Lonchura striata: one gene and its partners. Each later gene encodes a partner of the first gene's protein in a complex. Links are inferred from orthologs where the notes say so. Each region holds a gene or a part of one and is shown in the gene's direction. Other genes may lie near its edges.

Region 1 (10,973 bases):
CAGCTGTGCCCTGTTCTTGGCTGCTCCACAGCAGTGACCTGTGCACTGCCACAGCAATGCTCCCTGTGCCTGCAGGGACCATGAGCTGCCATGCACAAATTTCCCATTCACACACGGTGCCACCTCAGCACATCCAAGGAAATATGAGGAGAGGGGAAGTAGATCCCTGTGCAAACTGGATCCCTTTCAGCAGAGCAGATTTGAAATTTCCTCTTTCCCCTGTAATAAATTGCAGGCCTTTGGTTGGCCCTTACTCAGTGGTTAATTATTGCTAATGAAGGAAAAATCCTGAGCAATGATGGAGTAAAATATGCATCAGGAATACAGTTAGCAAACTGCTAAAACCTTAAAATCTCTGGGATAAAGCATTATATATATACTAATAATCTCTGGACTTTTCATGGACTGAGGAACTTTACAGAACAAGAGGGCAAACCCAAAGACATCCTAAATAAATGACTGGCCTTTGTCCCCAGCTGAAGCACTGAGGACCTACAGGATCGTAGTTAACATGTGCCTGGAGAAAAACATTTGAAAAACGATTTTTACCTATGTGACCAAATTATTTTATGACCACAACTATTAAACAAGGTACTCACACCACTTTCCATGTCACCTGCACACTGGCAACAGCCAGAGAAACAGAGATGGCAGAAAGTTTTTGGCCTCATCAAATGTCGGGAGATTATCTGTGAGATTATTGTACAGAGAAGATGTGACCCAAACACATGAAGAAAATGGGCTGAGAGGTCACAAACTGAACAAAACTTTGCCAGATTCTTGTTGGCTGCATGTGCAATCCCTTTAGTACCAGCACCATCCAGTGAATAGTTTCCAAGGCCCATTTCAGGAAGACAGTGCAGCATCTCTTCTCAGACAGTGGCCGAGTCCAGTCTGAGGCTGCATCACCAGGAAAGCAGATGGAACTGGGGCCTTGTAGGAGCTCTGCAGCAAGACTTCCCCTCTGGAGTTCCATTCCCACCAGGCTGCCTGTTTCCATCATGCTGAATGGCTGCTCCCGGTGCCAGCCGCCACCACCTCCAACACATCCACCGTCTGCCTTCCCTCCATTCCCAGCACAGTGGCTCAAGCTGGCTGGTGCCTTGGCACCAACCCACCCTCTAATGCACAGGAGAAGGAAGGGGAAACCTTCAAAGAAATCCCACCAACAGCTCTCACAGAAAATCTTCAGACCAACCTGAGCAATTTCCTGATCCAAGCCCTCTTCATCCTCTTCCTTGCACGGTTCTGCTTGGCCTGCCAAGTCCTGGGGACACCAGGTCACTTAGTCTCTGCCCTTTATGCCAGCACAGAGATGTCTTTTATAGAATTCTACATTGCATTTGGAATTTTATTTCATTTTTATTTTGCTGCTTTTTGTTGTCTGTGTTGAGGCTCTGTGCGTCATCTCTTCTCAGTTTTATTTGATTGCCTTTTGGAGATGAGGAGATTAATATTTCATCAAACATACAGGGAATAAATAACCAGATTTGAAAGACATCCAGAACCTTTCCTACCCTGAGGGCTACTTGCAGACCTGAGAAGTGGGGAAGTATTTTTACCACAAGCTATTTCTGAGAACGTCACAATCCCTGCTACAATCTCTGCAGGACATTTCCACCACCCATGACATGTCCACATCCATGATGCTGTGGAGTTAACGCCAACAGGTGTGAGTGCAACACTCTGGATATGCCCATTCTTCTGTGGGAGGGCTCAGCCTGGAGAAAAGGAGGCTCGGGGGGACCTTCTGGCTCTCCACAACACCAGCGGGGGGTGGGGGGCAGCTGGTGGAGTTGGGCTCTTCTCTCAGGGAACAAGATACAGGACAAGAGGAAATGGTGTCAAGCTCTGCTAGGGGAGGTTCAGGTTTGACATCAGGATGAATTTCCTCATGGAAAGAGCTATTAAGCATTGCAAGGGACTGCCCAGGGAGGTTTGGAGTCCCTATCCCTGGAGGTGTCCAAGGACATGTCACTCAGTACTCTAGGTTTGGTAACAAGGTGAGGATGGGGCACAGGTTGGACTCCATGGTCTGGGAGGGATTTTCCAATCTTATTATTCCATGATGCATGGAAGAGTCTCTGTACATCCTTGTATATCCATAAGAACTCATGTACATCTGTACAACAACAGACAATGCAGCAGAATTGTGATGTGTTCCTATGCTGCCAGACACAGCTACAAAGAGGCTCAAAGCTGACAGTGTTGTGCATCTCTGTGTCACACACGGTGTGAAGACAGAGCCACTTTCTGCTGCTGCTTTGGTGGGATCAGTTTCCAGAATAAAACCATGGAGTTTTTCCCAACCACAAACCACTGTGATCTGTTTGATGGGAAATGCCAACTGCTGATTGGGAAATTTCAGTTGACTTTGCTTTGAATGAGAAAAATAATAATTATGACTTTTATTATGATCAGTTTAGCATTCTGCCTTGAGGTTTAATTAGCTGAAGAACAAAAGCTTTTGTGTTTCTGTTATATTCAAAACTGACACATCCTCCCAAAAGCAATTTGAAAAACATGGCAAACACTTTTGAGAAACTTGGGAAGCAAATGAGAAATTCAGTTAGATCCCAAATCTTTGTGGGTTTCCTTGAGTTTGCAGTTGCCATGTTTTTGTAAATGTGGGATCTCCTATTAATGCACACAGTGTGGGAATTAAAAATGGCAGGGGGGATTTATCCGTGTAAATGAAAGAATCAGTCACTTGCTGCATGGAGCAATGAGTCAGAGTAAACCCAGCTCCATGTGTCTGAGTTTTCCTTCTCCCAGCAGGACACTAGTTTGTCTTCCTGCATGGACTCTTCTGCATCTCCAGCAGAGTTTGACGGGACGAACAGGGGTCTGAAGTGTCCAGAGGCCACCCAAGCATTTGCAAGGCCTTCAAGAAAATCTGCCAGCACAGCTCTAAGGTAATACTCACTGAATGAGGTTGGTAACAATCTTTGGTTTCTTTCCCTGCAATGTTTTCAGCAGGGCTGTGGCTTGAGCTTTCCTGCTCTTCGTTTCAGAGCACCTGAGATTTGCAGGGGTGAAGCAGGTGATACAGAGTGGTCAAATACAACAGGGATACTCAAATATGAGGCATGATTATACTATGTGGTAAGCAGGAATGAGAGGAACCTCATCCCAGCAGCTACTTTCTTTAGTCAGGCAGAGTTTGAGAGAGTGTTCCCCTCACTGCAGGTCTAGGAGGAGGGAAAAGGACACAGGACAGAAAACCTGGAAACTAATTTTAAAAGCGGGGCAAAAAACAAGTCTCCTGGGAGAAACAATGTGGTGGGTTGGATTTTTTCTTGGCCTGCAGTTGCTAACACAGCCCCATGTGCTGACAGCCTGTCCTCCCCTGAGCAGTGCCCCGAGCATTCCCAGCTGCACTCAACCTCCTGGGAAAGAAACAGTCCCAACACACAGGTGGGGAAATTGAGGCACACTGCTGATCTCAGCTGGGATTTCAGCTGAGAAGCTAAACCTCACCTTTCCACCAAACTGGCCTAAATGTCCAGGACACTGAGGATTATTTTCTCCTACAGATGTCCTAGCTGGAAGCAAAGCCCTGCTACCAGTGCTCCATGGGAGAAGCAAGGATGCATTTCCCTGCACCCTTTCAGTGCACGGAACAGTCCCAGTCTCATCCCTATACTGCAGGAGGGACACATGGAGTTTTCCCAAACCAGGTGAAGGTTGGCTGCAGGGACAGGGTGGGAGCAGGGCAGTGGTGTAAGTCCTGCAAACAGCCCCAAAGTGCAGCTGTCATGGAGCTGCTCAGACACAGGACTGTCAAACCACATGGAGTTACATAAAATAATAGTTTACCAAAGGCAGGTAAGTCAGACTCAATCTCTCCCTCCTTCCTAGATATCCGATATTTCTCTTCATTGTCTCCATCCCTAAAAGCCATATCCAACATCTGTCTCTGCACTGCATCGAGAAGTTTGAGATTAACCGTGACAAATGGACTGATTTCTGTGTCTCAGGGACTGTTCTATTTTTCCTTTGCCACATCTGACAAGTTGCATTTTACTATAAATCCCCTCAATTAGGTGCTTTAAACAACACTGCAGCCTTTTCCCTGATATATGGGGAAGGAATTATTTTCATGTCCCTGGCAACCAATTCCTTAACTAAAAATAGTGCTCACTTCTGCCTTCCTTGCATCACCTCATACTTAGGGCACCTGAGCAGAGCATGGCCATCCTACATGTCCTTCTTGCTGGCCATGGGCAGGCTGAGATGATGAAAGACAATCCTTGGTCTTGGTGTGGGAATAAGGTCTCTTGTGCTTCCCATTGCAAGGTCCCTTCTGTCCCCTGGGTGCACAAAGCCCTGAGCAGCCTCCAAAACCAGAGTGTGTTTTGTGACCAGGAACTGTGCCCTAGACCTGTGATGGTAGAAGGTGTCCCATGGCAGGGGTTTGGAACTACATGATCTCCCAATTCAAACAATTCCATGATCCTGTGATGCCCTCAGCTGAATCCAGGATGCTCAAAATTATTTGGAGCAAGCTTTCTCAAGCCATTTGTAGAAAATTATGCATTTTCCATGGGCTTATTGAAGTGAGAGGTAACACAAGGGTGGCTCTGGAGTCTGTCTCATCCCATACTTGTCACAGGAGGGATGTTAAGATATCTCAGAAACAAAAGTTTGCTGAATTTACCAGAGATTTAAATATTTTCATATTTCTTTGTCAAAGCAGTGACACAATTGATTTAACCCAGCTAACGCCAAAAGATTTATGTCTGTGTTGTTTATTCCCCTTAATTACTGGGCCAGGAGCATTTACCCTTTGGGGGCCAGGATGGGTCACTAGGTGCCCCCACATGCTGGGACACAGCCCTGCTCAGTACTTGTGCCTTGGTCCTGCAGCTGCAGGTGCTCCAGAGACAAAGAGCAGCTCAGTAAAGATGGATAGAGGCTGTGGCCGTGAATTCATCAAGAGACTCTGCCCTTCTATTGATTTATCTGCAACCTGCTGTGGTCTGCAGCCATTCCCAGAGGCAGAGCCTGCAGCTGGGAGCACAATCCAGCACCCTGTGAGAGGCTGGTGGTAGATGAAGCGTCATCAGCTAAGGGAAATATCACACCCCTAGATGGTGGTCCCATGGCAATATTTTCCAGCATCCCCCCTCCCAGCAGTACACCTCATTGATCCTTATTTCCTCAAGGAAAGAAGGAAGCAACAATCTGTTGCCTGGCTGTCTGCCCCAGCTCACCTCAGGCTGATGGAGCTGGGCTCACTCCCAGGATACGCAGAGCACCCACAGTGGGACACCCCCCTAAACCTCAGTGAGTACAGAAGGCATGCTCTGAAACTGCCCTGGCATGGGGGAGCAGGTTTAACCCAGCCTACCAACTCAGGGATGGACACAATCCTGACCATATCAACCCCGGGACACAGGGGTGTGTGGAATCCCTCCCCAGGAGACCAGGAGATGGCTGCCAGGGAACTGCAGGAGCTGAGACACAGAGGTGTGACAGGAGACCCTTTAAAGCCAGAGGGTTATGCTAGGCGAGAAGGGACATATCATTATGCAAGACCTCAGGAGCATCATCCAGGCTCTCCCACACCACTGTTCCCCACCCTTCCCCCCCTTCTCTATCAGTTCAAACCCCACCTGCTCCTGTCCCATCACCTCTGCCCCTGCCACCAACCCAGCTTACGGGACAAAGCACGGTGCTAGCAGCACCTCCACTTCCTCCGGGTCCACCCTTGTGATCAAACATCCCTCGCACAGTCCCGCTGTGTGGAAGACCCGAGTCCACCTGCCCCACATCCCTGTTCTTCCCTCAGGAGCCTCTCCCTCGCAAGGCAGGGCTGAAACCCCTTCCACCCCATCCCTGTGGAAGAGAAAAGGGGCTCTGCCCTCCTTTCGTGCTCACCATCCGTTTTGCAAAGGGGCTGCAAAGGCTGACGGGGGGGACCTGGGAGAAACTGGGACACTTGTCCCAGTTCCTCTGACAGAGCCCTGGAGCGAAATCCCCAAATGTGTAACACCCGCTCATCCCCTCATCCCCGGCAAATGCAGCCCCAAAGCCTTCGCAGACACAAAAGAAGCCGCCAGGCTCCACAGGAGGGACCCCACAGCGTCTGCACGATGGGAGTGAGAGGGGTGGAGAGGAGAAACCCCCTCCAAGGAGAGGCGGGAGGGCGGTCCCTGGGCCGGTGGGAAGTTTCTGCTGCTGAAGATGCTGAGGGAGGGAAGGAGAAAAGGGGGGCGGGGGGGGAGAAATCAAATACAGTTGGAAGGCACCAGGGAGGTGGAGGAAGGAAAAGGGGAGGAGGAAGAGGAGGAGGAGGGAGAGAAGGGGGAGTGGGAGGCTGGTGAGGAGGGATGTAGCCCATCGCCAGGCGAGCTGGAAGGTGGGCAGCCGGAGGACCGGCTCCGAGGAGGTTATAAAAGGCAGGACCGGGACGCAGAAGGACCCGCAGCCTCCGCGCAGCCCTGCGGGACCCGCCAGGCTCCTTCGCTGGAAGCCCAGAGGATTGTCTCCCCGACGGCAGGAGCAGCCCGGCAGGAGCGGGGACGCTGCCGGCCATGCCCCGGGGAGCTGGGCGCAGGGGCAGCTGAGGATGGTGCCCAGCCTACGTCCTGCCCTCCTCCTCCTGCAGGTAAGATGCTTTAAGTCCTCTTCTCCCATAAGGGCCCTTCTGCCCCGTCCCCATCACCCCTACGCCGTGCATCGCCCGCGTTCTCCGCAGTGACTTTTCAATTTCTTTGACGGGAAAAGTAGGAAGAGAAACCGCAACACAAAGGGCCCTCGGGAGAATTCCTCCAGTCGAGGCACTGGGGTTTAGCAAGATCTCGTGATGCTCAAAGACTATCGGGGAGGGGGGCTGAAGTGAGTGAAAGGATCATTTAAAGGGGGGGAGAATCGCAGCCAGGTCCTCCTGAACTCACCCCAGGGCTCCCAGTAACTCCCAGCCTTGCACCTCCCAGTGAAAACAGCTGCCACCAGTTTCCCAGGCTGCTGGGAGCGGGTGGCCACTCTGGGCGTGTGGTGGATGTGGACAGTGCAAATGCACAGTCCAGTTGTACCTCCCATAATTAATTTTCTAAGGAACCCTCTCCTTTACTGCCCTGCACCTGCAAAGCACAACACTTTTTCTCTCTAATTTGCTTGCTGTGGAACTGTAGCCACTGCTAATTTTGCAGCTCTGCACAATATGCAAATGCTTTGTCAGAAGCAATATTCCTCCTCCTTGAGGGCTCATCAAGGAGGGAAACATTAACAGCCCCAAAGCTTGTTTAAATCCCAAGCCATGGACAAACAAGATGAAGGGTCTCCCAGTGAAATCTTGAATTTTATTTGAACAAGCCTAGAGTGGCAGTTAAACAAATTGATCAGGTTTCTGATAAAACCTCTGTGTCAAGGAGGGGTAAAAGAACAAATCTGCCTGACTGGCTGCAGAATGGTGTCTCAGTGGCCCAGCTGGGACTGCAGAGTTAAAACAGCAGGTAAAGTGGAGGGAGAGCTCTCCCCATTGTCACCACTACGGCTTGTACCCTGCAGGCTGTGCACCCCACTGTTCACTCCAATGCGTATCTCACATGTCAGCTGCACCTCTGGGCCAGGAAAGTTCTTACCTAAATGATGAAAAGAGCTGATGAGCACCAGGAGACCTCCTGCCTAGTTGGTGTTGCTTCTAAAAACTCTTCTGAGCAGCTGCTCTCTCTTATTGCTGTAACCCACTAAGCCTGATTGATAGGGTTTATGGGAGCTATTTTGCTGTTACTTTCCCTGGTTCAGGTTTTGTTGGGCTCTGATGTAAGAAATAAAGCTGACACAGGGCAGGATCTTTTCCCCCAGCCCAGGTCCTTCTTGGCCAGTCTAGCACAGACCCAGTGCAGTAAGATCATGTTCTGGTGGGGAGAGCCACGTGAACATGACAGCTCCTAATAACTTCGGTGAGCAAAAAGTGGTACAAAAGAAGCCCAGAGGTGCTGATACACAGCTTCCATCCTCTGTCAAAGCTCCTTAGGCTCAGGGGGACTCCCTTGCCATCCCCAGGTGTTCCCCAAGGATATTCTCCTTGTGAAGGTGGAGCAGCAAATCTTCACAAACCTTCCAGATTCTGAGACAAAACCATCCCTGCACTCTGGCTGGGACCAGGAGAGAGGGGTCAGAAAAACCAGACCAGACAAAGAGAAGCCTCTCCAGCTGGCTCCAAAAAGAAACAGCCAATCTACAACTACCCCCCCCCACCCCCACTTTGCAGTCAAGCTGTCTATTTTTCCTTATAAATACATGCATTCAAATCTCAGATGTTTTTCCAGAACAGTCCTAACCCTCTCTTGGGGACAGCATGAACTAAAGGACCATGAAACTCCAGCCATGAGTGCATCCCTGCAGCCAGGTATAGCTGCAGCAGCATCCTGCCTGTGAGTGCAGAGACCTGCAGCAGCCCAGCTCCAACCCAGAGCTCAGCAGGGACAAACCTCCCCTGCAGATACTGGGTTGGCACAGTTTAGGCGTTCCCCGTGCACCTGGTTTGTACCTCCACTTTAGCATCAGTTTGCCCATGTTGCTTTACTGAATAGACATCCCTCAGGATGTCGGACAGACAGACTAGGAGATAGGCAGCCAAACTTGCTGCCAAACTTGCTGCCAAGTGCTCCCTGGCACCCTTGCAAGTCATTGAAACAAACTAAAAAAGTGATTAAAAATAAACCAGTCCACTTGCATCTCTGTCAGGAGCCAATGACATTTCTGTGGCTGATAGAACTGCAAAGTGTTTTATGAAAAATCAGGGATTGATGATTTGGTTTCACTTGACCACCTCCAGCAGCAATAAGCCCAAAAACAACCCCTGCTCCTTCCATGCTTGAATCCTTGCATAAAATGCAGAGCTGCAGTTGCAGGACATGCTGACCCTGGGGATCTCTTCCAGTCCTTGCTTTCCTTAAAAGCTGGAGTTGATTCAGTGTGTATGAAATCATCCCTGTGGTTCTGCATCTCCAGCAAAGAAGTGAATGGAAAAGGCACAGCCTGTTCCCAGAATAGCTGCACTATCACCACAGGATGTATAGGAATACAATGAGAATATCCTGCACCACCAGCTCAACCCTGCCCTGAAATCCAGCTCTGCTCCCAAAATCCTGCACAGGGTTAGCCTAGAAGTTCATTGTGAGTGACAAGCTCAAGCTGCAATTGAGTCTGCAGTGCTTAGAGAGGCTGCATCCATGGATTTGTCTGTGAGAACAGTTTTTGAACCCAAAGAAAGCACAAATCAACCCCCAAATCATGGGGTTCCCTCACAAAGCAGAGCCCAGGAGCCATTGTCCAACACCTCAGAGCTGTCACTCAGGAGAGGGTGGCTCTTTCTGAAGATGGAATAACATAGCCCGGGCCCATCTGTTGTTTTTCCCTAACTGTATTCTGAGCTATAGAAGAGACCCTCCTTCTCTGCTTTATCTACAGTCACCCTCCTAGGAGGAGTCGCCTCTATTTCAATGGCCAAGGGCAAAGTGTGTTGGTATTCTGCAGATCACAGTCCCTCTTCCACCCTGAAATCTGCAGTATCCACCCCAGCAGATGCAACTTTGGTGTGGCCAAGCTTTCCTGAGCTGTGAATGTGAATAAACCAGAAAAAAAAATTATGGGGAATTTAATTGTGGATGTTCAACCCTAAAAAGGTGATGGGTGAACGAGGGGGTTTGGGGCAGTCAAGATGAGGGTTTTGGGACAGAGCTGGAGGGAAAAATGTCCAATCCCAAACTGAAAATAGCTGTCAATACACAGGAGTTCCACATGTACAATCTGCAGGAGAGTTTAATAAAATTGCCTTAGAAAAACAGCCCTCCCCCAGGCTTGTGCCCATCACTCCAGTCTTCCTCAGCAGCCTTTGCCCCTGCAAATCCAGATCCCATAGGAGCTGAATGGTTGCATGCCCTTTCCCAGCTTGACGATGCCTTTAGCTTCCAACACCCAAATGCCATTTGTCATTTTTTAACCTGTCCCTAAAAATTCATGTCTCTCACGACAGATAAATGAAGTCAGAATTATTTATGGCAAGTGACAGAGACCCGAGCTTAATCCAGGAAAACCTTTAATTGCTCATAAATCAGTTTTTACAGGGCATTATTTAGCCTTGATTGATATTCTTTTGTTAGGATCTGCATCCAGCACACTTGGAGAGAGACTGCAAACAGAATAAACACTCTCACCAAAGCTCCTGTTTACACACCACAGAGACTGGCCATCTAATACAGATAAATTAATAAACTCGCAGATTTTAATGCCAGATGGAGGATGGAGATGTTCTCACTGCCTGCTCTCCCGCTGAGGAACACCAGCCATGGAAAAATTCCCCCACGAGTCTTGCTTTGAGCCTTGTTCCATTGCCTGAGCTTTGCCTTGATGTCCCAGTGATGGCAGGGCTTGGAATGGGGCTTTGGGAGAGAAATGAAGGAGCAACAGGGGCTTGGTAGGGCAGTGAAGGGGCTTGGAGTGGCAAAACAGGTTACTGCCAGGTCTAAAACAGAGGGTCCTTCCTGGACCAGATCTGCCTGGAGGTTTCATTTGGAAACTGTTCCAAGCAAAAGCCCTCAAAGTGGAGCAGGTAAGAAGATCCCCAGCTGCAGAAAACAATGCCTGGAAGCCAGAGGAGACAAAGGCAAAGAGATGCAAGCACATTTGAGGGCAGCTCTTTCAATCAGGCTGTTGCAGGGCACCTCCAGCCTCCAGCTGCAGTCCTGGCAGGACGTGCTGCTCCCCCCCCCACACCACTAATGCTGCTCTGCCATCTGAAGTTGGCATCCAGCTCTTTTAAAACTCACTGTATTTAACACCCAAAGTCTGGCATGTTTTGCTGAAGGCTCAGAGCCAAGAACAGGCTCCATCCCAGCCTAATGCCGCAGGGAACCTCAGGAAAGGTCCAGGGCAGCAGTTGCTCAGCCCTTTCCTGCTCTGTGTTCCAGGAGGTCTTCCCTCTTCCACACCAAGTGTTGTAGTGAGCAGCAAGCCTAGCC
Region 2 (8,727 bases), on another chromosome or scaffold:
TGGTCGTGGCTGGGGTGGTCGGGACAGGGGCTACTGGGGCTGGCGCCCGTCAGGCTGAGGGTTTGCTGGGCTCAGGGCTTCCGAGGACGGAGCGGAGCGGCAGCGGGGTGGAGACCTGCCAGAGAACTGTCTCGGGGGAGTGGGGAGAGGGAGCAGGAGCCGCCAGGGCCGGGGGAGCAGCTGGAGGGGCAGCACTGGGCCAGCTGAGTTGCGTCGAAGGGGTCAGGGGTGTAGGATAGAGCAGGAGCTGCCAGAGACCCAGCCGGGCAGCACCCCACCAGGGACACTGATCTAGAAACAGGGCCAGGAGCTGTGCCAGCAGCCAGCTGTGGCAAGGGCTGGGGCAGCGGGGAGCACGTTCTGCCCATCCCGGCTAGTGGGGGATGCAGACAGAGAGCTGGTCTCCAGGGAGGGGATCACAGCCGGCAGAACCTGCCCGGTGTCCAGGGAGAGATTTGGGGGTGCTGTGGGAAAGGCTGCGGTGGAGATCATGGGCAGCAGCTGGGCGGGCTCTGCTCTGCTCTGAGAGCGCCGTGGAGCCTGGGTGATGGGTCTGCCCCGTGTCTGGGTCACTGGGAGGAGGTGCAGCTTGGACCGTTTTGACCAGAGATGCTGCGGTGAGAGCCCTGAGGCACTTGGCAGAGCGGGACACCTGTGCCATGGGCTTTGGTGCAGGCTGGGGAGCTGCAGCTAGGACAGGGCTGGAACAGGCTCAGGCATCCTGGGGCAGGGGGCCCAGCTGGGGGCAAGTCACACGGGGGTCTGGCCTGCCTAAATGGGCTGTGCTGGTTGCAGGGGCCCTCATGGGAGCTGGAGATGTGATTGCACAGCAGCTGGTGGAGCAGCGGGGGCTGCATGGGCACCACTGCCTCCGCACCCTGAAAATGATGGGCATTGGCTTCTGCTTTGTGGTGAGTGGGGATGGGATGGGATGGGATGGGATGGGATGGGATGGGATGGGATGGGATGGGATGGGATGGGATGGGATGGGATGGGATGGGATGGGATGGCTCCTACAGCAGGGTGGGACTGTGGTGGTGGACTGTGAGTTGGGCCACCCTGATGCCACCTCCAGCGGCCATGGCAAGGCCAGTTCTATGGAGCAGGAGCAGCATAGAATGAGCTTGTCTTTGTGGTCCAGAGCTGGAGCAGGGCCAGGTAACCTGCCCTGGAGGCCCTCAGCCCTGACCGCTGTGACCAGTGAGGGCAGATAATGCTCCTCACCCCCTGGCTCCTGCAGGGCCCTGTTGTGGGCAGCTGGTACAGGATTCTGGATTGGCTCATCCCTGGGAATACAAAAGTTGTGGCTGTGAAGAAGGTGATCCTGGACCAGGTTGGTGTGACATGGGTGAGGATGTGTGGGACTGTGGGGCAGTGGGGACACAGGATAGTCCCTGTGGCAAGTTTCCAGCCTGCTCTGAGAGCCCAGTGCCTGAGCTGGGCCCAGCCTCGCTGCCGTGGAGGGCTGAGGTGGTCATTTTGGCAGAGGCTGCCCATGGCCAGCCTGGCTCCAAGCACCATGAGCTCCTCAGCATCGGCCGGGGCTCCTCTCTCGCAGGGGGGTTTCGCTCCGTGCTTCCTTGGCTGCTTCCTGGCTGTCACAGGGGCCACGAACGGGCTGTCGGTGCAGGAGAACTGGTCCAAGATCCAGCAGGTATGTGCTGCTGCCCTGGGCACCCTGGGGCCCTGGCAGCTCCTCCTGTGTGCTGGCCCTGACGGCTGCTCCCACTTGTGTCCCACGGCCCTGGGCGTGTTGGGTGCCCAGTGCTGCCAGTCCATATACTGGTGCCAGGGCCAGTTCCTCTGGCATGGGTGTCCTGTGGGCGAGTCCTGGGGTCCCACCTGGGCCAGTCATGGGTGCCACGAGCGTGCTGTCCAGCCCAGCTCCTGGCTGGGCCTCCGGAGCAATTACCAAGATGACTCCCATTAACAGTAATTGCTGGACACCGGTGTGAACACTGAGTCAGCGTGTCCAGTGTGAGTCACTGGGGAGTGGGTGCCCACCTGCCACAGGATGAGGAGTGCTGGGGTGGTCGCGTGGCTGCCAGGAGCGGCAGCGCCAGCCTCTCTCACTGCTGCTGCCTGAGCACGGCCCCAGCCTGGCTGGAGCTCTGCCCAGGTGCCACCACCAGTGTTCATTCCTCTGTGTGGGGGCACCCAGTCACCAGCCTGTTACACACTGGGCTGCCAGCATGTGCCCCTCATCCCGCCCCAGAGCGCAGGAAGGAGATCCCAGGGCGGGATCACATCACCTCTGCTTTTGTCAGGCTCTATGCAAGCTACAGCTGGGCATGGGGTGCTCCAAGGCACCCTAAGGGCACGCGTGAACAGATCGTGGGCACAGGCAGCACTCTGAGTGCTCCCATCCATCTTCCCCTGCTGCATCCTGACCAGCTCGTGCCATGGATCTGCCTTGCCTTCCCCAGGGAATCCTGCCGTGGTTGGTGATTCGTGTGAGCTGTGGCTCCTGGGAGCCCTGGCCTGGAAGGGGCTGATGGGCTGGGGATGGGCAGCAGTGCTGGCAGCACCTTCACCCCTGGCTTGGGGCGCATCCGCCTCTCCCCACGCAGAGGAAGCGTCAGCAGAGCATCCATCACCCCGCGCCCGCTCACCCCGTCCTGGGCTGCTGGCCAGCGCCAGGAGGAGCCCGGCCTCCTGGCTGAGTCACGGCCAAGCTGCAGGAGGGACTTGTCCTGCTGCCACGGGACAGGGATGCGACACGGCCGTGGCTGTGGCACGAGGACAAGGCGGCACCTTGGACTCCTGGAGCAGCTGCCCCAGCTCAGTGCCCCTCTCCGTTTCTGCCATGTGGTGCCCAGGAGGGGTCTGGGGGAGCACTGAGCTGGAAAGGGGCTCACAGCCCACACTGGGGGGCCAAGCCATGGGCCCATGTGCCCTGGCTATGGCACGAAGGGCTCTCAGTGGGGATGGTTCTGGTCACCCTCTCCCTGCCACCCTCATGGCTCTGGGAAGGCATGGGCAGGGCTGCAGGGGCTCCGTGCCCAGCAGTGTGGAGGACTCCAGTGTGGAGTTAGGGCACCAGCGGCAAGGATGGGGGCCCTGAGTGCTCACAGCTCCTTTTTCTTCCAGGACTACATGGATGCCCTGATGACCAATTACTGTGTGAGTGCTCGCACATCTGTGTCCCTGTCCCTGTCCGTTTCCTCCATGGGGCTGCCGTGGGCTCTGTGGGACACCCTGAGTGCCAGGCAGGGGTGGGTGTGGGACAGGGACCCTGGCAGGGCTCCTCACCGCTCCTCCTCTTCTCTGCCCAGATCTGGCCACCCGTGCAAATTGCGAACTTCTACTTCGTGCCTCTGCAGCACAGGTAGTGTTGCGGCCCTGGTGCCCAGTCCGTGCCCCCTGAGCCGGCAGCTGCAGACCCTGTTCCTCTGTCCCCAGGCTGGCTGTTGTCCAATGTGTTGCCATCGTCTGGAACTGCTACCTGTCCTGGAAAGCGAATCGGATGTGAGGCACAATCCGTGTCCTGTGCCTGTGCCCGGCCTGTGCGCTCCAGACCAGCACAACTCGGAGCCCTGGCCATGGGCACGCATGGCCGTGGGCAGGCTGGGATACACGGGGTCCTGCAGCAGCCATCCTGCGCTTTTCTCAGGGGAACACCATCCCCTATGGCCACGGCCTCCTGCCCCAAGGAGAAGATGGTGCCAGGACAGGCCTGGATCTGCTCCAGCCATGCTGTGCAGCGACTCTGCCCACGGTGCACTTCTCTCTCTGTGCTCAGCCATTTCCAAGCCCTGCACACGGGGTGCTCCTGTCCTGAGTGTCACTCTGACCTTCCCCACAGCACATCCCGAGGGAAAAGAGGAGTGGAAATGGAGCAGGGCTGGCCTGGGCTGGCTGTGCTGTGGGCGCAGAACTGGGCTCACTGCAGGCTGGGGATGCTTCCCCTGAAAACAGGGTTTGCTGTGGCTCTGCTGTGGACAGTCAAAGCATCAATAAACAGTTGTCTTCACTTTTGATTCCTGGGGCCCTGGGGCTTGTGGCCAGCATGCCCCCAGGCCCTGAAAGTGCTGTTCCAGGGCAACTGTCCTGTTAAGGATCAACAGGTCCACTCTACCTCATGTCAAGGCACTGAGCATGGGGCTAGGGGTTGCGGGCTGGGGTGGTCTGCCCCACCGGATAGAGAGGGGAGGGGACTCTGACAGAGGGTGGGTGGTGGTTTAGGGGTTCATCAGGTGCTACTGAAGCTGTTCCATGGGCTGTGATGGTCCTTCCGCAGCTGCAGAGCATTGGAATGAGGTCGATGGAGCCGAAGTCCTGATGCTGGGTGCAGAGTCCCCCCAGGGTCAGGGCTTGCTTGGTACAAGGCTGTGCATCTGGGGAGGGTCCAGAAAGGGTTGGGGGTAGGGCTGGAGCTGGATTTGGGCCAGGGCCACAATCCACCTGTGCCATGTCTGAGACAAGCCTGCCTGTCATGCCAGAGAGAAGCCCCGTGGAGCTGCCACTGCCTGTGCTGCTGCCCCTGGGGATGTGTGTCCACGCTCATCCTGCAGTGGCAGCGAGCACACAGTGTCGCACACTCACAGCGTCCAGCTCCCACAGTGTTCCTGCCCAGCACATCCCAACCAGGGGCTCCAAGTGGAGCTGGTGGCACCGTGGGGGTTCCTCCCATTTCTGTGGAGCCCTGGGCCCTGGCCCCCTCACCTGTGCTCCTGCAGCCCCACACAGCTGGACAGAGCCAGCGGGGCCCTGCCAGCATGGCCTTCATGGAGGGTGCTACCGTCTGTCCTCCACCCTCATCCTCCCCATGGTCTGGTTCTGTGCTGGCCCCAGCTTTGGGGCTGCTCCGGCCGGGTGGATACAACCTGGAATACAGAGGAGGCAAATCCTGCACAGTGCTGAGGGGTGAGGCAGGGGACTGGAGGGGCTGCAGCTGCAGCCCCCTTTCCCCCAGCAGTGCTCAATGGGGCAGCACAGGGCTGGGGCCAGGTGATGGGGCCATGCACGGATGGCACCAGTACTTGGGGGGTTCTGTGTGGGGCTCAAGTCCTCTACAGCCAGTGGGGTGGGTGCTGTGGGTGGCAGGAATTTGCAGCTCTGAGGTGTTGAGCCTCTTGCAGCTCCCTCTGGGGGTGCTGGAGGCTCTCTCTGTCAGCAATGAGAGCTGCGAGCATGGCAAGAGCCACGTGGAATGAGCCACTTGTCCCCAGGAGCAGCCGCCCCAGCATGGGGCTGCCAGGGCTCGGGGGGCTGAGCCCAGCCCCTGCTGAGGGCTCTGCCCTGCCGCTGCAGGAGGCGGTGCCCGGTGCCAGCCTTCATGCCGGATCACGTCATGGGGGCACGACACCGTGTGCTGCTCGCTGCGGGCAGGGCCGTGCCCCGCCGCCCCTGTGCCACCCGGGGTGGGACACACCGTGCGAGGGGCCGGGCTGAGCCCCTGTGCCCGGCTGTGCCCCGCACCGGCACTGCCCCGCTGCTCTGCCCCTGTAGCAGCGTCGGCGCTGGGTGTCAGCTCGGCTACGCTCGGCCGGCAGCCGCAGGACGCTCGGGGGCTGCCGGCAGCGGTGGGGAGCGCTCGGGGGGATGCCGGCAGTAGTGTGGAGCCCCAGCAGCCACCTCACCATTTGGCAGCGGTGCCGGTGCCCCGACGGAACACCCTGAATCCAGCACGGCGCTGCCAGCTCCGGTGCCTTCATTCTATGACTCACAGGACTTGGCCGATGCCGCCGCTGCGCTCGGGGCGTCTGCGGCCTCGGCCCCGCGGTTCGACCTCGGCACCGCCCGCTCCGCCCGGGACGCTGAGCCACGGCCAGGCTGGGGGTCCCACCCGTGACCGCCCCGTCCCGGAGCTGCCGGTGCTTGGGGTATCCCCACCTCCGCCCAGGAGTCCCTCCCGCCCCGATCGCTGCTTGGACGCCGCTGCTCGACGCGGCCGTTCCGCCCGGGAACGCAAGGGCTCCACGCCGAGAAGCCGCGGCTAGCCCCGTACAGCTCACTGAGGGCTCACCGGGAGCTCACCTGTACAGCCCACCGGCCCCGGTGCCCCAGCGCGTCCCGGCCGTTCAGCACCGCGGACAGCGGCGGAGAATGAGGCCGGAGATGCGGCAGAGCCGGGAGAGGGAACGGGGCGACCGGGAAACCGGGGGACAGGGGAAGCGAGGGTTAGCACGGCCCAAGGCACCTGCTCTCACCGGCCCCGGCCCCGCCGTGCCTCTCTGGTGGGCGTCAGAAAAGAATCGGAGAGGTGGCTCCCGAAACCGGCGAGAGCGGGCTCTGCCTCTCCGCCCCTCCGTCCCTCAAGCCCGTCCCGCCGCCGGGTGCCCGCTCCCCGCCGCTCCGGTGCCCCCTCTCCCCCGCCCCCGCCGCCCGGTGCGTGCCCGGCGCTGACGTCAGCCCGGGCTCCCGGGCCGATATAACCCCCGGCCGCGCCGCCGGCTCAGCTCCCGCGGGACGGATCGCTCGCCGCGCCGCCAGCACCGGCAGGAACAGGGCACGGGCACAGCGCACCGGGTACGGGACGGGGCTTGGGGACCGGGCAGGGACGGCACCGGGGCCGGGGCGCGCAGAGGGGGCGGAACGGGGCGGGAGGGGGCTCCGCGCCCGGGACCGTCCCCGCGCCGCCGGGGCCGCGGTTCCCGTCGGGCCTCCGCCGCCGCCCCAGTCTCTGCTGCGGCGCTAAGCCCCTGCCCCGTAGGTGCAGAAGGAGCGAGGATGCGGCGGGCACTGCTCACCCTCCTGCTGCTGCTCGCCCGCCCGCCGCCCGCCGCCGCCCGCCCCGCCACCACCGACGGCTCCATCCCGGCGGCCGGGACCGGGGCTCAGGACCAGCCGCTCTGGCCGCCGCTGGCGCCGCCGCCCCCGGGGCCGTGGCGAGGGCGGCGGGACGAGCCGCCGCTCTCCATCGACCTCACGTTCCACCTCCTGCGGCACCTCTTGCTGCTCGCCCGCGCCCAGAGCCAGCGCGCCCGCGCCGATTCCAATCGCCGCATCCTCGACGCCGTGGGGCGCTGAACCCCAGACCCCGGCATCCCCGGACACCCCGAACCCCCCATGACCCCGGGCTGCACCGGCCTCCAGCCACCCTGGCCCCTGCACTGTGCGGCGCTCGGCACCAACACCGGCACGGGCTGAGCCCGCCTCAGCCCCAGCGCTGCGGCGAGCGGGAGCGGAACCGGCCCGGCACCGGTCCGCACCGATTTTGTAATAAAACGTGGTGGAAACCCGAGGCGTGAGCGAGTGAGGGGTGGGGGCAGCTGGGGCTGTGCAGGACCAGGGACTGGGCAAACTGGGAATGTGCTCACTGGAAATGGGGAATGGGGAAAGAGGCTCAGTGGGAACAGGGAAAGAGGCTCAGTGGGAGCAAGGTAATGGGCTCATCAGGAATGGGGAATGGGTTTATGAGGAATGAAGAGGGGGCTCACCAGGGATGGGGAAACAACTCATTGGGAGTGGTGGAATGGGTTTACCAGGAAGGGACAAACAGACTCACTGGGAATAGGGAAAGGGCTCACTGGAAAGGGACTAAGGGCTCAGAAGTGGGAGACAGCATGAGCTGGGTCAGGGCTGGGTAGGAGCAGCTGGGCCAGCAGCACGAACCCCCCAGCTCTGGAACAAGGCCGTGGGTGTTCTGGGTCAGGGGGGACACACCATGTGCTTCGGGGGGAGGCGATGCTCACAGCTCCCCAGGAGTGGGAGCAGTAGGAAGCAAATGGGACAGAGGGATGGGAACGATGGGTCCCCACCACCAGTGAGCCAGTCACAGGCGTCTGCACACACGTGTCCACAGGTGGGGACATGAGCAGAGAAGCAATCCTGCCCCAGGATGGTGGGCGAGGCTGGGAGCTGCGGGAGGGACAGACACAGACCCTTTGGGGGGATATGGCCACGATGTGGGAGCTCCAGGAGTGGGAGGAAACCTCCACGGGACACTCAGTGCTGCTGAGTGGGTCAGGGCTGGAGTGGTGGGTGGGAGGGGGGCACTGTGGTGGGCTGTGTTCCTTGGCCCTCAATCAGAGGACAGGGATGAAGCCTTCTGAGGCAGTTGGGGGAGGTTCAGCCTCCTTGTGGCTGGCCCTGGTCCTCACCACTTGCTCTGTGGAAAGTGATCCTGCTGGTGGCTGTGGATGTGACTGGATGTCTCTTCCCACCTAAACCAGCCAGAAATTCTTTGATAGCATCCCAACAGCTGCTGGAAGGGCAGCATGGCAGAGCTGGAGCCCTGTTTCTAATGGAGTGCCTGGAAGGACTGCGCAGATGTGACAGCAGGGGAGTCAGTGCTCAAGACAGGCAGGGGTGCAGGGCTTCATAACACCAGCAGAGTGTGAAGCCCCCCGAGTTCACAGGAGCTCTTGCAGTGACCCCGTGGCTCTGGTAGGGAGCTGTACCAAGGGGCAAAAGAGTTGGGGAGCACAGCCTTTGGGAATGAGCTCAAGGCTGGAGATTCCCCACTCCAGGCCCTGCTCCAGCTGCTCATGCTGTGGCCACTGGGACTTGAATGGGGAAATTCCACCAGAGCATCAGTACCCTGGAGCTGGAAGGCCTTGCGGCAAGAAGGATTGTAGTGGGACGATCCCTCCTAGGAGATATTTATACCAGGTTGGACACTGACTTGGACACCCTGACAAACAGAGCTGGGGCTAGTGGGGACCTAGGGACCTCCTGCCCCTCACGCAGCCGTGGGTGCCTTCCCAGCTGGAGGGACCACAACCCCTCTGGGCAGCCTATTCTGGGCACCCTCTGTGATCAGCCTCGCTGCAAAAAAACCCC
Region 3 (9,615 bases), on another chromosome or scaffold:
TGACATGGCTCCAGTGTCAGAGCAAAATGCACCAAACCTTGCTGCTGACACTAATGGCCGATGACAGCCCTGGTGCTGCGCACGCTAAGATCAAAGCAGGGTCCCTGGTGTCAGTGGTGTGTTTGAAGGCTGAAGCCATCGGTGGCCCAGGGGACTTTCCCACAGGGACATCCTAGCTGGGCAGACAGGCTCGCATCTGCTCCTGGCCTTTTGTGGACAGTTCTTCACAGACTTCCTGGAGCAAGCCTGCCATCCATGCTGGTTACACCATTGTGGGCTAGCTGTGCCCCCCCTCCCTGCCCCAAGTTCAGGGTCAGTTCTGGGCTCTAACCTCCAGGGACAGAGCTGTTCCTGGGGAGAGGCACTGTAGAGTTCCCTCCCTATCCTTCCCTGAAGTTCCACCCTGGTTTCTTCTACTTCCCCTTGGCCCAGTGCCTGCCCTCCCGTGGCTCAGCATCCCCTGTTTTGCTCACTGCAGCCATACCCTGCTATCCATTGTGTCTGTACCACTCTGCCACTCTGAACTGTGAGCCTGGATATCCCAGTGGCTTGTTCCAGATGCGTGCCAGATGCAAACGCAGATCCTTGTCCTTGTCCTTGCCTCACTCTGCACCAAGGACAGACAGACAAACTGGGTACTCAGCTAACCAGCAAAATTTCTTTAATGGCCAAATGTACCCAGACACCAAGACAACCAGGAATACCCGTTGCTTGGTGCTCCTGGGACATGCCTGTTTGATGGATTTCCTTGGTGTTACCAATAACTGAGATTAGTTCCTGTAGCATTATCATTAACAGCACAGCGGGCTCACACATGTGCCTGGGCAGCCTTCTCCAGCCCTTATTTGAGAGCAAGAATAGCAGCTGACAAGTCTTGTGAGGTAAATATAAAGGTCAGCTGTTGTCTCCCTGGATGAGGGCTGTCAGGAGGAGAGAGGCACAGCACTTTCCCACCTCCATGCTGCTCACAGCTTCTGCAAGTCCCTTCCCTGCTCAGAAGAAGAGAGCAATGCTGTGAGGCCTCCAGAAGTGCTTTTAGGCGTGTCCAAGAGGGTATGGGAGCAGCTCCTCCCCGTGTTACCCTCACTGGTGGGAATTGAACAGGCAGGGCTTTGGGTGAAGGGAAGGCTCTGGCTGGGACAGTAGGTCCATGCTTGGGATTCCTGAGCAGTGCACACTGCCCCTGCTCAACTGGGGGTCAGACCGTCCCTGCAAATCCACCCGTGTGTGAGCTGCTGGGGACGGCTGTGCTCCTCCCAGACATGGTGGAACCAAGAGGATATTCCTAAGGAATTTTTCCTTCTGCTGGGACCCCCAAACACATAAAATTACATCTTGTAAGCAGACATCAAGGATCAAGAGTAAGAATATGAAGTCGTGAATGAAAATAGTCCTCTGGTTGAGCTTGGTCTCAGATAATGCAAGACTCACTCCTACTTCTTACACAATTCCTGGACAGATATTTGATAAATTTCTTCACCCTCTAGCGTGTTTTTCCCACTGGAAAGTTTGGGAATTTAAAGTGCTTTACTCTCTCTCTCATGGGACTGTAGGGAAATCTGATACAAATCATAGGTGGAGCTCTGCTGTAAGACTGAGGTGCACCACAGAAAATCTCTGTGACAGGAGCATGTGACTTCCTTCCCAGAGCAATGTGATTGAAAAATGAAAGAGAAATTAAAAGTGAAGGAGAGAATTTTGAAGACTTCTGGGGTCAGAAGCAAGGGCAGATAGCTGAAATCCTTATCAGTTTAATTTTTCATCCTGGTCTACAACATACTTTTTTGTATATAATTGATTTATTTTGATTTATTTTTATAACTCACTTTAATTGAGGTTATCTATGATTATTCTAGCAAATTCAGTCTGCTGAAGAATAATAGGCAAATGTATTTTGTTCTTAAGGTGACTTATCACCTTCAGGCAGAGTAAGATACCCTGAATTTAATTTTTCTTTTTCTCTCAGCTGTCCCAGAATCCATAATATTTATAACTATCAGATACAAATTTCTTTGTATCAAGACTACCAAAAGGTGAAATGGAAGTGTGATGTACACATGTCAGTGCATGATTACTGGCATCTCAGAGTGGGTGAGATGAGCTGAGTTCACCTGAAATAGTCAGACTGTAAGATCGTGTGTCTGACCACATGGATCAAGAACGATGGGGATCACATGAAGGGGTACTGTGAGATGTGGAAATGTTTGCTGAACTCACCAATGCAAAAAATCCTTGCTGCCTTCTGACAAAGTGGCAATGAAATATTGCGCTGTGGTAGAAAGTTGATCTACATCTGGTGTGCATCCTTCCACGTTTGTAGTTGGGCATCTTCAAAAATACCTGGGGTAAGAGCCATAACCTCAGTTTAACATCATCCCCTCTGTATTACCATACTTAGAACTGTGTGATCTCTCTGCTATGGTCAGTCAGTGAGGAGGGGATTCTTCTCACCTCACATTGCTGCCTAAGAATTCAGTGGGCAGGCAAAGGTGGTTGTCTGCACTCCCTTTATAGACAAGGGAACAAGGTGAACGTCTCCAGAAACCCGAAGGTGCTCTATTGCGGGGGGTGCATCATGCTCTGGGCATGCTTTTGCTTTCCCTGAGCTACCTCAGAGCAGCTGTAATTGCTTTTCAGTAGGTGCCTGAGTTTGAGATCACCAAGGCTAAAGGGCAAGAGCACTCAACCCGAGTCAGAGGAGAGGAAATGGTTCTCAATAGTGTTTTTTATTTCTAGACAGTTATTTTGTGATTCACTAAAATTTCTGTTTGCTCCTGATGTTTGCAGAATGAGTCAAATATGAACACTTTTCTTATGAAGGGTATGCTAATCTCCAACTATAATACTAAACAAAAATCTCTAAATCCAGATGTACCTCATATCCTCCTTGTATTCCTTTTTCACCCCTCTGTTGAGAAGCCAAGATTTCTTCTGTTGCAATCTCCTTCAGAAGTGACAGCTGACATTTCACTCAGAAACTAGTGACTGTGGGGAAAGGACTTTTATATTCCTAGGTAGTCAGTTGTGCATTTGAAGTGCTGAAGGAAGTACTTTTTTTGGTTTATGTATCTGTGATATTTTATATTCCTCATTATCAAGACATCCGACTGTCTCACAGTGTTCCCTGCATTGCTGCAAGCCCTCACACATCACTCAGGATCTATGAGGAAAGTGGGGTAATAGGACCATGTTGGCTTAGAAACAAGCTTGTGTGAGACACTGCGGACCATACTCAGAGCCAGGGGTGAGAGAAAAATGGAGGAAAAGAAACTGGCATCTTGTACAGCTCTTGTAGAAACTTGAGGATACCAGCCTCCTTCTCTGTTGCATTTGCTATACCTGGATTTCTTCAAGGGACAAAACTGTCTGCCTAAAGAGACCTAAATAATACTGTAAATTATTAAAAACATAACATAACCTGTGCCATTTCTCACTGGCATCAATCTTTTGGAGAAATGCAGCTCTGTCTTATTCAAACCTCACCCCTAACACAAAAAAAATTATTATTCTGATAAAAATTCTTCTTTCTTTACATTTATGATCTCATTATTTTAAGAGGCTTTTGTGTTTTTAAGCAGTATGTTAAACCTAAAAATGGAGACACTGATAAAACCCAACCCAGAGCACATCTAAAGGGTTTGAGTTTAATAAGTACCTCTAACATTTTCCTTCAATTGATTGAACTTAGCTCCTGTTTCTTTGAACCTCTTGTTCTCACTGAAAGCCATGCTGACATGCTTTAAAAGCATACAAATAACTGATGCTGTGACTAGCTACACAATATATTCTGTTCTGTAATACACATTTCAGTTCATGAATGCCTGAGCAAAAAGTGGTAATGAAGAGCTAAATCTCTGGTACTAAATCTCTGTTTTTCCATTTGTTTCTTCATGACGCATAAGATCTGATTCTTTGGCACTTTGCAAAATGTGCATCTGAGGCTGGAGCTAGGTACAACTAAAATTGAAGTTTAGAGCATCCCTAAAGAGATGCTCAGAATTGGTCTGTGGCCAACCTCATACATTAAGTGGTTTTTACTTTGTTATTTTATTAAGGAAATGGAGTTCAGATCTATCATTTTGCATCAATAGCATGTGACCACCTGTTCTGTCCCAACTCCTCACTATGATGGGAAACACTCAAGTGTGTGACCCCAGGAGTTTATTGTCTAGGCAAGATAAAACCAATAGGTTTTCTGTAGAGTTCTCCAACTTAAAGAGAAGGAAATGATTGATGTTTCAACTGAGGCAGTGGAGAAAGAGGACTGAAAGGCATTGGCAAAGGTGATGGGATGCAAAAATGGAAGACCACACATTACACATGGAATGGATGTCGGGCAAAAGTTATTTCTAGAAGTTCGGCAGCACTTCCTCTTGAAGAGATCAGAGAGCAAGAAACCCAGGTGGAGACGTTGATGTACTGCGGTCTGGAGCTTGAAGATGTACTGGTCATGGGAGAACACCTCGAAAAAGCTCCACGTGGGATTAGGACAGGCTGGAGAGGAAGGCCTTAGCTGAGGAGGGCAAACAGGGAAAGCACAAGGCCATGGCGTTGAAGAGGTGGGGAAGATCAGCCAGTGGAGTCGAGAAGGGGGAAAAAGAGCAGTTGTTGCCTCCACGCAAACAGCGGGAGAGCAATGGAGAGGAGCACGGGCCGCACGGCGGGAGCGGGCGCCGGCAGCGCGGAGCCGGCGCCGGGACGAGCCGGCGGCGCTGCCATCGGTGGCGGGGCAGAAGGAGCCGAGCGCCCCCCGGGCGACGCTCCCTGCCCCGGCAGATGCTCGCAGGCAGCCCTGGCGGCTGTCTCGGCCTTCCCCGCCACCCCCGGGGCCTTTCCGCCCCCTCTGCCGCCGGCGGGGTCCCTGGCAGCTCCGGTGCCAGCGCTGCCGCGGGTCCCTGCCGGCACTGGCACCTTCCTCTTCCCGCGGCTCGGCTGCGCCCCTGTCCGCTTCGCGGGGCGAGCGCTGCCCCGGCCCGCGCCGACCCCGGGAGCGGAGCGAAGACCGGACCCACGCAAAACACGCGCCCTGCAGGCCTCCTGCCCACCCGCCACAGTCGTCCGTGAGGGCGGGCTCGGAGGCGGCGGAGGCCGGGCGGCCGGGAAAGAGCGAGGATGGAGAAGGAGATTGCTCGGGATATCAGCCCCGGCCCCGCTCGGGTCGGGTCCCTCCCCGCGGGCCGGCCCGTGAGTGGAAAGTTTCCCCGGAGCGACCTCTCATAGTACGCGCCCGCTAGGAAATCTCATTCAAGTATTTTTGTCAATGGGGTGGGGGGGGCATCCTGCTCCCCGGCCCCCGGCCCGGCTGACGTCACTGCAGAGGCGATAAATATCTGTTGATATAATTGGACGTGAGATTTGGGGTTGCGATAGCGAAACTCGGCCCATCGCCGCTCCGACGGGCCCCCATGATTTATTCAGCAGTAGATCGGGGCACGCAATCGGGCTGTCAGGGAGAGCGTCAGCTTATTAGGCAAGTTCTGCGTGATTCCAGGAGAGGGTCTAAGCTATAAAAATCCCGCGCTCCGGCTCTGATTAGTACCAAATCTGATCCCAAGTTTGCCAGGAGCCGGCTCCGAGGGAGAGCGAGAGGAAGGGACGCCGGGCACCGCCGAGTCCCGCCGCCGCCCGCCCTGCCCTACCGCCGCCTCCGCCGCCCCAGGTAGGTGCGCGGCCGCGGCCGGGCGCGCAGCGGATGCGCTGCCCTGCGCTGAGCGGGGCTGAGCGCCGCGTCCCGCGGGACACGGGGAGCTGTCCTGGCCGGACAGGGAGCGGGGAGGCGGGGAACGGGCGCTTAAACCCCACAGCTCGTGGGGAGAGCCGCCCCGCCACAGGCACCCCACGTTCCCCCTCTCCCCGGGTGGGTGAAGGGGCACGGGTCGCGAACACGCGTGAGCGCTCCGCAGGGGCTCAGCCCAGCCTGGTCCCGGGAGCCGCTGCCGGCGCAGCGCGGAGCCGCCGCGCGGGGCTGTTCCGCGGGGTTGTTCCGCGGGGAGCGGCCGCCTCGACGGCGCGGGTGGACCGGCCGGGGTGAGCGCAGCCGGGGGTGGTGTGCGGGGAACGGAGGGGCGCGGAGCGACGCGGAGCGGCGCGTTTCAGCACCGGGACAGCGGCGGTGGGGACGCCCCCTCCCCGGCCGCCCGCTGCCCTTCCCGCCGCTGCGGCTCGGCTTTGTAACCCAAACCCCGTCCCCCGTCTGCCCCCGCAGGTTTGGGCCCCGATCATGAAGATCCCGCTGCTGGTCTCCACGGGAATCCTGCTGGTCGCCCTCCTGCCCTGCCAGGAGTGCAGAGCTCTCAGCAAGAGCCCGGCACCCGCCCCTGGGGCTCTGCACCAGCCAGATTTCTTCCAGCAGCAGCAGCGACAGCAGCAGCAGCAGCAGCAAACTCTGCCCGTCCTGCTCCGCATGGGAGAAGAGTATTTCCTGCGCCTGGGCAACCTTCACAAGAGACCCGTTGGTTCTTTCTCCGCCTCCTCCAGCAGCACCAGCCACCTACAGCCCGAAGCCTCCGCCAGCAACTTTTTCCGGGCGGCGGTTCAACAGCTGCAGCAGCTGCCCGAGCGCTCGCCGGGGGACCGAGAGGACGGGGAAGCCGAGGGTGAGGCGGTGGAGAGGGAGAAGCGATCCGAAGAACCCCCTATTTCTCTGGATCTGACTTTCCACCTCCTGCGAGAAGTCTTGGAGATGGCCCGAGCCGAGCAGTTAGCGCAGCAAGCTCACAGCAACAGGAAACTGATGGAGATAATCGGGAAGTGAAACGGCCCCTCCCCGCCTTGCCAAAGAGATTCCGCAGTTAGCACAAGAATAATTACACCGTCCGATGTACCATAGTGCTGCTCTGATGTCATCTCTTTATTTTTATATAGCTTTAAACCTAGAAGGGCGTACTCCGAACAGCCTCTGTCCCTTGACTAGCATGCACAACCGTGTACCAAGTGCAGAAACACGAGTGTCGTTTGTAACCTCCCTTACCTTTATTTATTTCTCCATTTCCCAGTTATTCTAGTGCCATCGCTACGTAGGGATGTGTGAGCATTGGAAGAAATGGTGCCAAGAAGACAGAAAACTTTTCTGTTGGGGGCAGGGAGTGGGAGGGGGAATCTCTGTAAGCTACTTTCAATCCACTTTTTTTTTCCTGTAAACATTTTCACAATAAATCATCTTTTCAGCGCTCGGTCGATTTGGTTGTGTAAGAGAATGTTTAATATTTATATTTTTAATAAAAGCTGCAAAGTAAAGATGCCTTGATAGATTTTCTTGCCTAGACGCCTGGGGGCTGCTCCGCCTCCCTCAGCGCTAACCGGGGCGGGGGGACACCCGCGGCCGTGGACACCCAGAGCCGCGGGGAGCCCTGGATCTCCCCGGGGATGTTTTCCCCCCGGCCTGTATCCGCGGGCTCTCCCGCAGGCTCGCCCCGACGCCGCCGGCCCCGGACGGGGGCTGCTCCCGCCGCCGCGCTCGGCGCAGGCTGCTCCCGGGAAGGGGGCGTCGAGGGCCAAATCAGCCCCCCCGAGCTGGCGAATCCCACCTCTGCAGCCTCCCGAGGGAGCTCCCTGGCTCCTGCCGCTGTGTCCGGGACCGGGCAGCCTCCTCCCGCCGGGGAGCACCGATGGGAAAGCGGTGAGGCGCTCCCGCATCTCTTTTGCGTTTTCGCACCCTTCCCGCACCACAAAAGGGCAGGTTCCTCCCTGCTTCGGCTTCTCCCGTCCCGTCGGCCGTGCCCACCCTGGGTCCCTCCCAGGGACTTCTAGGGAGGCTGCAGTGGGTGTGGAGAAACTTCCCGGGAGGAGCTGGGGGAAATCTCCAGGACGACTGGGAGAAAATAGTAAATCCCTCACCCCGAACCAAATCCCAGGGAAAAGCTGCTCCAGCAGCCGGAGGCGATGCGGTGGCGGTGCTGGGCGGCGCTCGTTCTGGGCTGTGCGAATTCCAAAGCTTTCGCACGGAGCTTGCCTGTGCATTCTGCAAAACTCTCTCAAGAGTTTTCCAGGGAAAACAGATACCAACGAGGGCTGGTAGAAACGGGTGCCCAGGACAGGGGCTGACCCCACACAGCCTGCTATGCTAACCAGTCTGCACTGCCAGCTCACCAGTCCTGCTGGGGCACAGCACAGCCTTATGGCCCCACACAGGCCCCTGCCAAAACAGCACAGTGAGGGCCTGGCTCGGGGATTTGGGAAAGATCCACACATAACCCTAGTGCAGAGCTTGACACCTGGTCCCCTATGGCACCAAGCACTCCCGGCAGCCTGCCAATCTCTTAAACACTGCTGAGTGTTGACACCTACTCCCAGTGACAAGAACCAGAGAGTGATGCCTTCAGTACAACTTGTAGAGCCTCTTTTAAGACACAAATTTGATTTCATTTGATGGCTCAACATCTACAATGCACACGGAATAGGAAAGTCAGCATCTGCCTTTTCTACAGCACAGCTTCAAATTAAACCTTGAGTGAATACCTGTGACCACCTTATCGCACCCTGGTTTAATGTAAGAACATGTCCCCTTTTGTACACACACCGACAGCAGAGAAGACATGGACAGAGGGAACGGCTGGAAAGACTGGGCAGCACTTCAGCAACTGCCCCACATACTCAAAGCTGTGTGGGGGTCTTGGCCAGTGTTTTTTGGTAAGTGTCTCTTCCTCAGTCCTGCCACTCGGAATCTTCCTTACAAATAATGTGTTTCTGCAAGCGTCATCTGTTGTGGTTTAGTAGGAAGAGCAAGTGAAAAGGAAGAAATGGCAGCTTCCTTCTTCCCTCCCATGTTCAGCCTCTGCAGCCTGGGACGCACCAGTACTGTAAGACACAACCCCAACTTGGGGATGCCAAGGACATAAGAGTGTCACTGAAGCCACCAGCACTGACAAGAGGGGACGTAGGAGAATCCTGAAGAGAAACACTGTTCTGGCAAAGGATGCTACTAGAGAATATCACACCAGCATTTTAGCTAAGAACATTGGTGAAGTGTTTACACCTACATGGGGATGTGCCATCAAGTGAGTTACAAAACACTAGCAGTGCTCAGACTAAAGCTGTAGTGATGCCTCTTCCCCCATGGAAGCAAAAACTTATTGGAAAACACTCTGACTACAACACATAAAATAATCTGTCCCTATGCTCCCCTCTCTCTCCCTGTCAATTCAAGGGTATGGTGTGGAGGTCAGCTGAGTTCCCAGGAATGAAATCTGTTCAGATGCCCCTTCCCAGGCCAGTTTCTTTGCTGACTGCAGCCAGGCTGCCTGTGCTCACAGTCCTTCCGAAGAGAAGCACACCAGAAGCCAGCCAGAGTGAGTCATCATTCATTCAGTGAGTTCAACCATGAGAAGGAGAAGACATGACGAGCCGGCTCGTCACCCCTCTCACTGCTCACGGGAGCTTCCTCCACTCGTCCTTGAGTGTATGGCTCAGAACCAGTCTGCAAAGAAAGGAAAGGTTGATAAATGGAAGAGAAAAATATGAATTACATTAAAATCCATAAGATTTCACTACATGCAGGGAAACAGAATGAAGTGGAAAAGAAGGGAAAAGGCAGGGAGCGTGGAAATTTGAGAAGCTAATACAAGACTTCTAACATCAAAGAAGTCAGAGGGACTTTTGCCATGACCAGTGTCTGAG

The links.
Region 2: the proteins of CRHR1 (region 1) and UCN are in contact, whole or in part, in a cryo-EM structure (PDB 6PB0), measured with the Homo sapiens proteins. The link is inferred for Lonchura striata from reciprocal best matches to the Homo sapiens genes CRHR1 and UCN. Residues at the interface, in NP_004373.2 of Homo sapiens: Leu106, Asn107, Glu109, Lys113, His117, Val120, Asn123, Trp169, Val172, Gln173, Ser177, Pro178, His181, Gln182, Thr192, Tyr195, Asn196, His199, Phe203, Phe260, Gly261, Lys262, Pro264, Tyr270, Tyr272, Gln273, Met276, Ile277, Tyr327, Phe330; in NP_003344.1 of Homo sapiens: Asn84, Pro85, Ser86, Leu87, Ser88, Ile89, Asp90, Leu91, Thr92, Phe93, His94, Leu95, Leu96, Arg97, Leu99, Leu100, Glu101, Leu102, Ala103, Arg104, Thr105, Gln106, Gln108, Arg109.
Region 3: the proteins of CRHR1 (region 1) and CRH are in contact, whole or in part, in a cryo-EM structure (PDB 6P9X), measured with the Homo sapiens proteins. The link is inferred for Lonchura striata from reciprocal best matches to the Homo sapiens genes CRHR1 and CRH. Residues at the interface, in NP_004373.2 of Homo sapiens: Lys113, Tyr116, His117, Ala119, Val120, Asn123, Trp169, Val172, Gln173, Met176, Ser177, Pro178, His181, Thr192, Tyr195, Asn196, His199, Phe203, Phe260, Gly261, Lys262, Tyr267, Tyr272, Gln273, Met276, Ile277, Leu280, Tyr327, Phe330, Phe331; in NP_000747.1 of Homo sapiens: Glu156, Pro157, Pro158, Ile159, Ser160, Leu161, Asp162, Leu163, Thr164, Phe165, His166, Leu167, Leu168, Arg169, Glu170, Leu172, Met174, Arg176.

What each region holds. Positions count from the first base shown.
Region 1 is NC_134627.1:1,367,204-1,378,176, reverse strand, and holds the start of CRHR1 (corticotropin-releasing factor receptor 1), read left to right. Parts: upstream 1-6,197; 5' UTR 6,198-6,574; coding exon 6,575-6,613; intron 6,614-10,973.
Region 2 is NC_134605.1:113,705,694-113,714,420, forward strand, and holds UCN (urocortin), read left to right. Parts: upstream 1-6,672; coding exon 6,673-6,972; downstream 6,973-8,727. Other genes in the region: mitochondrial inner membrane protein Mpv17, read left to right, coding at 804-911, 1,241-1,333, 1,559-1,654, 3,091-3,123, 3,276-3,328, 3,403-3,472. UniProt on the Homo sapiens protein: Acts in vitro to stimulate the secretion of adrenocorticotropic hormone (ACTH). Binds with high affinity to CRF receptor types 1, 2-alpha, and 2-beta. Plays a role in the establishment of normal hearing thresholds.
Region 3 is NC_134603.1:35,190,404-35,200,018, forward strand, and holds CRH (corticoliberin), read left to right. Parts: upstream 1-5,366; 5' UTR 5,367-5,659; intron 5,660-6,205; 5' UTR 6,206-6,220; coding exon 6,221-6,754; 3' UTR 6,755-7,236; downstream 7,237-9,615. Other genes in the region: TRIM55 (tripartite motif-containing protein 55), read right to left, coding at 9,296-9,415. UniProt on the Homo sapiens protein: Hormone regulating the release of corticotropin from pituitary gland. Induces NLRP6 in intestinal epithelial cells, hence may influence gut microbiota profile.